Xenopus tropicalis: one gene and its partners. The protein of the gene in region 1 interacts with the protein of each later gene in a pairwise test. Links are inferred from orthologs where the notes say so. Each region holds a gene or a part of one and is shown in the gene's direction. Other genes may lie near its edges.

Region 1 (3,754 bases):
CAGGGTTGGACTGGGAGATGAAGGGCCCACCGGGGCTCCCGCCCCAGGGGCCCTGCAGGTGTCCCCTCCGGCCACGTCCCCTAAGTCTCCCCCCCGCTGGGGCCCCCCTAACCCACCTCGCAGCACCCCCCACCCAACGTCCTTCCCAGAGTGCTCATAATTTAACCCGTCGGGAGGAGCGGTCGGGCAGAGGGAGGGCAGCAAGGGTTGGGTCTGGGCCGCCAGGTCCCACTAGAGCCGGAGCCCACCGGGATTTTTCCTGGTGTCCCGGCAGCTCAGTCCGACCCTGGATATTCAGTGCATGTATGGCGACTCGGCAAGGCGACCGATATTGCCATTGAATCCTATTGTTTCTACCTCCATATCTGACAATTCAGCCCTGAACTTCTGTGGAGGGTGGGAACTATCCTTGCGACTTGAAAAATCGCGTGTGTGGCCACCTTTAGGGGAACTGAGACTCGCAGCTTAAAGGGCAATTTCACCTTTTTCAGCAAAACTGTAATAACACATAAAACAGGACCCCAAAACCCATTTAGTCAAATGGGAGTGGTATTTAGGGGGTATGATTGCAAAATGGGCATGGTAAAAAAATTGCCACGCTGCGCGCAGCATTTATTTTTGTCCCTCATTCTGTTTTCAAAATGTTGGGAGGTATTAAAGGGTCGTGGCATTAGGAAGGTTATAGGCGGAACAGGCAGACCAGCTGAGGGGCAATTGTGCATGGCTGGGCCCACTGGGACATATTTAGGCACTGCCACTATCAAGGGCAACTATTATTTTTTGGTGCGTCTCAGATTTAATATTTTTTCAAGCGTTTATGCTCAGAAAAAATGCTTTTCAGGCAATTAACTCTTTTTGGAAACAATTTTTCCCAAGCAAAATATTATATAAATATAATCGATATCTCTACTCCCAGGATACTAGATAATATTCTATTACAGACGCCCTGAGAGCTGTAAGTACCCGGAAGTGCGCAGTACATACTCCACAAAGCCAGATGGCGCTGCTCAGTTCGTGTCGGTGACATAAGGTGAACCCCGCGGCGGCTAGTTCCCTACGTCACTTCCAGAATCTCAGTGTGGCTTGGGTCGCTTCCGGTCCTGAGTCACGGTAAAGCGAAGAATGGCTCCGCCGGGAGAATACAAGGTGGCGGGGGACGGGATGGAGCAGGTACCGGGGACAGAGGATTACTGGGTCTATAGGACTTATGGCTGATAGGGCCGCCTGTGCGGCGGGAGCTGTTTCTGTCCGCCCTTATACCCATATCTGCCGGCTGTACAGTAACCCAGGAGTGACAAGCTCTCTCCTTTCCCTAATAACTCCCAGTGCCATATACAGTCCTGCCTTCTGTCCGGCTTCAGCGCAGGCGGCTGTACTAGTTTCCCTGTGTGGCTTTATTCACATCCTGGTGCCGGGGCAGAGCCGAAAGGGAATCTCTTCTAGAATCCACAATCTATGAACCAAAGGGCCCCTAACCTCTCCCTCAGCTGTACTTATCCCCTCATCTGTACTCAGAGCCACCGTAACAGTATCTCCTCATCACAGTATCCCCTCCCTCAGCATTACAGGGACCCCAGCGTCACAGGGTCCCTGCATCAGGGAGCATTACAGGGTCCCCTGTCACAGCATCAGAGGGTCCCCCCTCGCAGCATCAGAGGGTCCCCCCTCGCTCAGAATTACAGGGACCCCTGTCATAGCATCACAGGGTCCCCCCTCCTTCAGCAGTACAGCCCCCCCTTCCTTCAGCATCACAGGGAACCCATCATCACAGGGTCCCCCCTCCTTCAGCAGTACAGGGACACCATCATCACAGGGTTCCCCCCCCCCCTCAGTATCACAGGGTCCCCCCTCCCTCAGCATCACAGCCCCCCCTTCCTTCAGCATCACAGGGACCCCATCATCACAGGGTCCCCCCTCCTTCAGCATCACAGGGTCCCCCCTCCTTCAGCATCACAGGGTCCCCCCTCCTTCAGCATCACAGGGCCCCCCCTCCTTCAGCATCACAGGGCCCCCCCTCCTTCAGCATCACAGGGCCCCCCCTCCTTCAGCATCACAGGGCCCCCCCTCCTTCAGCATCACAGGGCCCCCCCTCCTTCAGCATCACAGGGCCCCCCCTCCTTCAGCATCACAGGGCCCCCCCTCCTTCAGCATCACAGGGCCCCTCCTCCTTCAGCATCACAGGGCCCCCCCTCCTTCAGCATCACAGGGCCCTCCCTCAGCATTACAGGGTCCACAGAACGGTAGGCCCCTGTGTCAGGAAGAATTACAGGGACCCCTCCCACCATCAGCATCACAGGGTCCTCCCTTCCTCAGCACAGCATTGTAGGTCCCTACATCAGGTAGCGTTATAGGTACCCCTCCCTCAGCATCAGATGGTCCCCCCTCCCCTCAGCATTACAGGGTCCCTCCTCCCTCTGTATTACAGGATCCCTCCTCCCTCTGTATTACAGGATCCCTCCTCCCTCTGTATTACAGGGTCCCTCCTCCCTCTGTATTACAGGGTCCCTCCTCCCTCAGCAGTACAGGGACCCCATCATCACATGATCCCCCCCATCAGGAAGCATCACAGGGACCCCTGTCACAGCATCAGAGGGTCAGCCCCTTCCCTCAGTAGTACAGGGACCCCATCATCACAGGGTGAGCCTTCCACCAACATCACAGGGTCCCCCTGTCATAGTGTCACAGGGATTCCTGTCGCAGCATTTCAGGGTCCCTCCTCCCTCAGGATTCCAGGGACGCCAGCATCACACTCCCCCCCCCCCCCCCCCCTCCAGCATCACAGGGATCCCCCTGCACCCCCCCCCAAACTATTCAGGGATCCCTGAACATTAAATATCACTTATATACCTCATACAATCATTTTAGCCAGACAAAGGGAATGATAACACGTGATCTCTCTTTTGTGTTTACTTATTTTCTTACCTGTATTACAGTAAAGCTGATTGTTGAACCATTGGGTGGTGCATTTCCCACATATGTTAGGCTTGCCATGATGCATGACGAGGGGTATTGCACTAATCACTACAGTCTGACGTGTCCTTGTCCTCCCACCCATTGTCAGTAGTACCTTATGCCTGTTATATGACGCTGACAATATCTGCTGTTTCCTGCACAGATGGAGATGGACGAGTCCCGTGGAGGTATTGGCCTGAGGCAGTATTACTTGTCCAAGATTGAAGATCTACAGGTATTTTTTATACTAACAGAACTATAACTACTAATCTATGCTGTGTCTGCTTGTGTACAGCTTTACATACCCACCAGACCCAATTCAGTAGTGCTGTTGCATTACTGATCACACAGTTATTCTAGCTGACAGTCATCTTTTGTCCCCAGCTTGTTGTTAATGACAAGAGTCAGAATCTCAGGCGCCTGCAAGCACAGAGGAATGAACTGAACGCTAAAGGTATGGCCGTTACATTATTGGGTTGGATGAGATGCTAGTTATATAATGACGCTCATAGATTTGTAGAAGAAAGCAGTGCTTGAAAGCTTGAACTATTTCTGCATATATATGACCTAAAATGTTATTTGGTTTTCACACAAGTACTAAAACTAGATTACAAAAACCAAATTCAACAAAGTGTTATACTTGTTCACTTATTTATTGAAGAATGTGATCCAAAGTGACATATGTGCTTGGGGAAAAAGTATGTGAACCACTAAGATTCTCAGTTCATTTGAAGGGGAAGTTGACCTGTTTCAGTCAATGGGACCATAAACAGATGTGAATGGGGGAGGCCATGTCTTAGTT
Region 2 (3,719 bases), on another chromosome or scaffold:
TAGAAAATATTATTACCTCAACAGTGGCCCCTTGTGCCGAGGCGTAGCACACAAGCCTGGATAAGGAGATAGCAACGCTAGAGAATTCCCCCCATAGGGGAACCGCAGTGTGGTATTAAGACCAAACCAGCGGCTGCCGTGCCCCCGATTGTACTTAGCCTCATTGTTGTCATAAAGAAAAAGCCCTGAGCTCTGATTAAATTTGGCATATGTGACTTCTCACCCCAGTGTGCCCTTTTATCAAGACATAGCTGTGGATTAATGGTTATTTGCGATCATTAGAGCACACTCCCGATGCATGCTACTGTGTGGGAAAAAATGCCTTTCACTGGCTACTGGGACGATCTGGAAACGTCAACCTCATTTAACAGCAGCGGAAATTTGCTATTTTCCAGGATTTTTTAAAATTGTTCTCCCTTCATTTTTGCGTGTTGAAAAATACAAGATAGATAGAAGTGTGACTGGAAAGTGAGCGATAAAAAAATGTAATTAAAAATAATTTATTTTTTCCTGAAATGGGAAAAATAGTGACAAGCAATAATTGCTTGTCACTATTTTTCCCATTTCAGGAAAAAATAAATTCTGACAAAATCCATTTAGTCATGGTTGCCCTGCACAGAATTGAATATCAGAGGTGTCACAGGCTTAGCTTGCAGTTTGTGCAAGAAATGTGTTTAGGTGGGAGAAGTGCAAAGAGCAGATAGGAGAAGGGCAAGCGTGTGGAGTGGGGAAGCAGCGCTGGCTGCCTGCGTCCCTCTCTCTCGCTCTCCCTCTGCCTGTCTGTTTCTGCAGGCTGGCTGCTAGTCTTTAAGCTGTGTGAGAATCCTGGGAGTTGGTGATGTCAGACTGGTTTGGGTCATTTGAAGGTTAGCAGCCTGGGAAGGGTTCATGGAAAGTTCACTCGCATATATTAGGCAATTCAATCTTTCATTTTGTGTGACACAAGTAGTAGGAAGTGAGCTGTTCAAAAGCAGAAGGATCTATTTGCTACAGAAGGGGGGACCGTACTGCTCGATGACATAAATTTAGTTATTTTTTCCGACTTTCGACTCAGTTGCTCACTGATACAAGCAGCAGCTGAATAGCTGCTACAGAAGGCTACAAGCACCTCCAGGAATTTAGATGCATTTTGCCTGGAGCTGACAGCTTGGATTTCTTCATCTCCCCCCCCCCCTCTCCTCCTGCTCCGCTGGAATGGCTGGGAAGCTTGGAAAATAGTAAATGATCATTTGGATCAATTACAGGCTTTTAGCTGTGTTGTCTGTCATAATTCATGATTCTGGTCTGGGAAAAAGACCAACAGCCTACGTGCCAAAAAAAGGGGCAGAGTTTGATGGAGTTGGGTGTACTTTTTCGATAGCAATTTGCTGTGCACCTAAAGGATAAGCACTTTCGCTGATATTCTGTATAGGGGGAATCATGTTTGACTGCATGGATGTTCTGGCAGTGAGTCCTGGGCAAATGCTGGATTTCTACACTGCGAGCCCGTCTTCCTGCATGCTCCAGGAGAAAGCTCTGAAAGCATGCTTCAATGGATTGGCACAGACGGATTGGCAACACCGGCACAGTGCTCAATGTAGGTGCACCTACCCCTCCATCTGTTTGTATTCTCCCTTCTACTTCACATTGCATGCTGCCAGCAGAACAACTTCGCACTGACACCAGCTCCCATTCCCTCACTTCTCTTTTAGCCTACACATTGTACTACTATTTCATCTAACCTTTGACAAAATATTCACTAAGCTAGTTTGCACAATGTTGCATGTGTTTAAAAAAAAAAAAAAAGTAGCAATTAGATATGTCAAAAATGATATATATGAATATAAAGTTATATACGGTATTATATATATATAATAAGTTATATTGTTATATATATATATAGTTAGTTATTAATTATTCCAATGCAGAAAAAGGGATTTTTTTTTTAATTAATTTTTATAAATGATTTTTGGTTTGTTTGTTTATGTCTCTGTTATTTTTCGGCATTACTCAAAACCCTTTTTTTAGCGCCAACCAATATTTGCATCCTTTCTATCGCTAAGAAGTTTCTTGGGCAATGGCCATTACTCACGGTCACTTAAGTGTCTGGCCATCAATTCAAGCCTGAGTTGGAGGCTTTACAGTAGGAAACTTGTATATGAGGAGAGGTCGTGTTAGTGGTCTGCTAAATCCTCTTATCTGATGGTGACACGGTGCTGAAGAACATATATAATGTAAACAGCAGAAGTGCTTTTCACACCCTGGCTGCAGGTTTGAGAAATGACCAGAGGCGCCAGAATTCACTAAGCCATTCACTGGCCAGAGGAGCCTGCAGGATGCTGCTTTGCTCTGACACTGATTTAGATAAATAGCCCAGCTATTTATCACAATGATTTTAACACAGTGTTCGACACCTAAGCTGTGGGATGTTCCTCCAATTATGCTGTTACTTGATTGTTTTATGAGCACTTTGTGCTCGGTAAGACTAAATGAAAATGTAGAATTTCTCTCTTTACTTTTTTGCAACAAAATGTATTCTTATAAAATGCACTAAAGAATCCCTTATCCACCGTGGGACAGTTTTATTATAGCAATTAACTATGTCCAAGCGATCCTTAGAAATCAGTCATATTTAATGATATTTTGAATGCGTGTTTGTGTATGTGTTAGAAAATATATATCCAGAGACAGATGTGGATATCATTTTTGCAGTGGTGTAGTAAGCTGGTTTCTATGATTCTAGCATGAAATCTATGGCCTCATTAGAGCTTGCTAAATCTGCTCTCAAAGTACCCCAGGATAAGACTTTCTTTAATATCGCCTTAAGGCAGTCAATAGCTTAGCCTGATAAAAGATTGTTCTATTTTTACATAGATTAGACTATTCATATACTATAAACCATATCCAAATGCAGGGCGGGCTGGGTTACTATACGGCATATACAACATTGGCTATTTTTTGTTTATTTAGTTCTTTGGAATGATGTAGATTGAGATTTGTTTATGTAATCGGATGAAAGAGGAAGTTATCGCAGTGTTTCTAGTCATGGTAAACATTTAATGAGGTTGAGCAGTGAAAGTCCTATCTTTAGTCTGGGTGATAACAGGAAAGTGGTAATAACCACAAAGAAACCTCAGATACAAAAAAAGTAACTGAAACAAGAAACAAATAGAAAATAACATTGCTAAATAAGTTAGTTTCGATATTTAACTGCCACTGAGGTATTGTTACCTTTTTCCCACATCGTAGACATGTATATAAAAAATATAAACAGTCCCATAGTAGTTTACACTTGTTAAAATGTGGGCCTCAACTTGTAACATTCTGAAGTTCAGAGATTTAAAGCTTTCCTGCTTGACAGTTTGTGTATTTTACACAGTTTAATGGCTATGCTAATGTCACCAGGGTTTTTTTGTTTTTTTATCGCTGCCATTCTTTGTAACAATTGTTATTATGCTTTATCGTCACTTGGAAAATTGATCTAAGGCATAAACCAGACTTGGTATTGGATATCATTACACTTACAATTTTGCAGTTATCGTGAAATCAATTATATACTATAAACATAAGCTTGACAGATAATCTAGGCAATTATTGACCCCCCCCCCCCATATAGTACTTACATTTGTGCAGTAACATCCATTTTTGTCTTTTTACTACATTGGATAGGTGATGTTTATTTCCCATTTGCAATCTATAATCATGGAAAGTGTACCCACGATTGTAAAGATGAAATTTTC
Region 3 (3,754 bases), on another chromosome or scaffold:
CGCAACAAAGATCAATATTAATCTCTGTTATACAGAATAGCTGGAGGCATATGGGGCACAGTGTGGTGGGAAGCTTGGAAAGGGGTCCCCAGGTGAAAACCAGGAAACCAGTGTAATTTTTACTGGGGCCCACAGTTCTTTAGTTAAGCCACTTTCATATTTTACATAGGACAAAATGTAATTGTATTATAGGCAGAACAGGGTATATGAATTATACAAATGTATCGCTATTCATTTTATAGATAAACGAAAGTGACTTGCATCATACATGTATACTCTACAGTCTACATCATTAACATGCAGAGCAGAATTTAACTGTACAGCGTTTGCCTTTTATGTTAAATTGCAGTGTATACCTGTATTACATAAACATAAAATTGTATTTTTTATTAAACACGGATACCGCGGATATTGTTTTCAAAAGGGCTGCGTAACCTTTTTCCACTCTTCAGTTTTACCTTTCTCCCAATTCGCACCCTCAACCCCTCCCTTTTTGTGTCTGTCTTTGCTTGCTAGGGCTCTTCCCGGCAGCCCTACCCCTAGCCGCCTCAAACCGCCCTCAAACAGGATGTTTTCCTTATAAGGATATCTGCGTCATTTGGATTCCCGAGTTCGGTGAAACCATTGGGTAAATCCGAGGGGGGAGACAAAAAAATAAGCGTTTGTTAGGTAATGCTACCTTGAATATTCATTTAGGTCATTGTCAAGAACTGAAGAATATTTGACATTCAGCACAATTAAATAGAAAACGAAAGCCCCGAGAGTTGATACTAGAGTTGCTCGTCCCTTTGAATAGTGGTAGGGTCTAACTCGTGACGTAGGCTTTGAAAAAAAGTAAAAAAAAAACCTCTGACAGGGTATAAAAAGCTGGAGAGGAGGCAAGTTCCTTCAGACTAATTGCTTCATCGTACGGAGTGGTTTGACAGCTTGGTGAGCCAGGACTGACGGTCTTTCTCTGTCACTTGCTACTCCCGGAGCTGGTTTTACATTCTTACCCTCAAAGGGCACCATGTATCACGCCTTCTCCAGCAGCACCGAATATGATGCAGCTTCTTCCCGTTGCAGTAGTGCCTCTCCAGCCGGGGACAGCCTGACCTACTACCCGTCCCCTGCAGCTTCCTTCTCTAGCATGGGGTCACCTGTTTCTCCACAGGTAAGTCATCTGATATATGATTTTAAGAGGGTGATGAAGTGTTTGCGGGTGGCTTACTTTACTGGTTGTATGGGTACAAGTAACTGGGTTTAGACTTGGCACCCGAATATCCATAGTCACTGCTCCTGGGACTAACACCCAAATCCTGGTTCATGTTGTAGCCCTGACTTCAACAGGGTCTTTGCACTCTCTTGCCCCTCCCCCCACTGTATGTGTAAAGCGGTTCCATTGATAAAAATCCAGAGTTCATTCAGGAGACTCCAGAGCTGTTCCTGCGTCACTAGTGACGGCGGAGCTATTTCTGTCATACTCGGGCTCGTGTGCTAGGATTGGAAATGCGGAACCCGGGTGGGATTATCAATTTCAATGGCTGGGTTGTGTGTGTATATTTGTATAGATACACATAACACTTATTGTGTGCAGTATTGCCGATTGTATACGTATTTTCTCTTCACTGATAGTCTCCTATTTCTACTTATGTGTTTTTAGGACTTCGGTGGTGATTCAAGCAGCAGTTTTGTACCCACAGTCACTGCCATTTCCACCTCACCAGATCTTCAGTGGCTTGTACAGCCAACCCTTATTTCTTCTGTAGCCCCATCACAGTCTCGGGCACACCCTTATGGGTCCACACCAGCTTACAGCCGATCTAGCGTTATGAAAGGATCTGCTGGAAGAGGTCAGAGCCTGGGAAGAAGAGGAAAAATGGAGCAGGTAACTGTCAGACCTTTGTTTTCCTTTAGTTTCTGCAATGCAGGTGTAGGTAGATGTTGTTTATCTATAAGCTACTTGTTTATTTATATTGACAGTCTGTCTTTTCTCTGCTTATAGCTTTCTCCAGAAGAAGAAGAAAAAAGGAAAGTAAGACGAGAAAGGAATAAGATGGCAGCTGCCAAGTGTCGTAACCGCCGTCGGGAGTTAACAGACACCCTTCAAGCGGTAAGTAGGCTACTAAATAGGCAGTAGTTTATATAAATGTTAAGATTATATATTATATATATATATAATATATATATATATATATATATTAGTTTGACTATATGCAGAGGGATGGAAAACATAAATGGGATCTATATTGCTCTCCATTCTTGGAGGATTTGATTGTTTGAGGTTCTTACTATACCACCTTCTTCCCTTGTAGGAGACTGATGACCTGGAGGACCAGAAATCTGCCCTGCAGGCAGAGATTGCCGGCCTTCTAAAGGAGAAGGAAAAGCTGGAGTTTATACTTGCAGCTCACAAACCAGCTTGCAAAATTCCACATGATCTTGATGGAGCTTTTCAAGACTTGACCTCATCTCTTGATCTGGGTCTGATTTCAGAGACCCCTTGTTCTTCCAGCTCTCAGGAGCCTGTAGCAGAGCCTCTGTTTCCCATTGGCCTTTCTCAGTCTTCCATGCCTGAAAAGGAGAACACCCAGCTGCAAGTCTCTATGGAACTCAAATCTGAACCACTGGATGATTTTCTGTTTAACTCTTCTCACACAGGTGTAACTGATGCAGCACGTTCTGTGCCAGATGTAGATCTTACTAGCTCTCTTTACACATCAGAATGGGAGCCACTGTATAGCACTTTATCTGCAGACATGGAGCCTCTGTGCACACCAGTTGTTACCTGCACTCCAACATGCACTACCTATACAACATCATTTGTCTTCACATACCCAGAATCTGACCACTTCCCCAACTGTGGAGCCGCACATCGGAGGGGAAGCAGCAGCAATGAGCAGTCATCAGACTCTCTAAACTCTCCCACCCTTTTGGCTCTGTAATGCTGAGGGACATTCACACAACCATTGTGAGATGCTGCTGGGGACTTTTACTTGTACTTGTTAAACTGGTTTATTTTGGTGCCTCCTTCCTTTGACTCCAAAATGCAATAAGGCACCATATGTGGCTTTTACTGTCATGCTTTTGGAACTTCTTCTTTGCTGCCATAAGTGTTCACTGTGCATGTCAATCCAAAAAATATGGTACTAGCATGTGACCTAGGCTCAGATATAGGTAATGTTTTGAAAAGTGTAAATATCACAGTGAGCACTGTACTAGGCCAAGAGTCTCCTACTTCCCAGTCATCACAAACTAGCACTAGATCCCTGTTAACTTATATGGTTGTGTAGTTGACTCCTACTTCCAACTGCCACTGGAGCCTGATACCTCTTACTGATCTGTAGCACTGGCATGGACTTGTTGTGAATTCTGTTAATATGTAGCATGATGTATCCCATACATTAACTGCTAGTGGCAATGACCTACGTTAACCTGTTTAGGTAATTGTGATATTGATAAAAGCCTTGTGCTGTTAGCTTGGAAATGTAGTCTAAGCTAGCTCACAGGAATGTTATGGTGCTGGCTGAGTACAAGGTGTTTAGAGGAGTTAGCTCTAAATATCCTTGTACCAGCCATGATATTCATTTGTAAGTCAGATATATAGATCATATATAGATATCCTTTTAAGGGCCGGACACATGGTGAACGTGCTGTTTCTTCCGTTGATTGTAATACTGTCTTTCCAAGTTTTCCATGAAAACGTTGATTTCCTGTAGATGGTTTTTGTTTTATTTATTATGATTGATATTGAAAATATTTATATTTTTATTTT

Evidence for each region.
Region 2: the proteins of psmc5 (region 1) and rarb interact in binary tests that used the Homo sapiens proteins (3 or more experiments, as listed by UniProt). The link is inferred for Xenopus tropicalis from reciprocal best matches to the Homo sapiens genes PSMC5 and RARB.
Region 3: the proteins of psmc5 (region 1) and fos interact in a two-hybrid assay, tested with the Homo sapiens proteins (3 studies listed by BioGRID and IntAct). The link is inferred for Xenopus tropicalis from reciprocal best matches to the Homo sapiens genes PSMC5 and FOS.

Annotation. Positions count from the first base shown.
Region 1 is NC_030686.2:15,719,521-15,723,274, forward strand, and holds the start of psmc5 (26S protease regulatory subunit 8), read left to right. Parts: upstream 1-1,029; 5' UTR 1,030-1,122; coding exon 1,123-1,170; intron 1,171-3,115; coding exon 3,116-3,187; intron 3,188-3,336; coding exon 3,337-3,406; intron 3,407-3,754.
Region 2 is NC_030682.2:47,514,315-47,518,033, forward strand, and holds the start of rarb (retinoic acid receptor beta), read left to right. Parts: upstream 1-786; 5' UTR 787-1,419; coding exon 1,420-1,576; intron 1,577-3,719. UniProt on the Homo sapiens protein: Receptor for retinoic acid. Retinoic acid receptors bind as heterodimers to their target response elements in response to their ligands, all-trans or 9-cis retinoic acid, and regulate gene expression in various biological processes.
Region 3 is NC_030684.2:82,309,770-82,313,523, reverse strand, and holds the start of fos (proto-oncogene c-Fos), read left to right. Parts: upstream 1-924; 5' UTR 925-1,009; coding exon 1,010-1,153; intron 1,154-1,642; coding exon 1,643-1,867; intron 1,868-1,984; coding exon 1,985-2,092; intron 2,093-2,294; coding exon 2,295-2,924; 3' UTR 2,925-3,754. UniProt on the Homo sapiens protein: Nuclear phosphoprotein which forms a tight but non-covalently linked complex with the JUN/AP-1 transcription factor. In the heterodimer, FOS and JUN/AP-1 basic regions each seems to interact with symmetrical DNA half sites.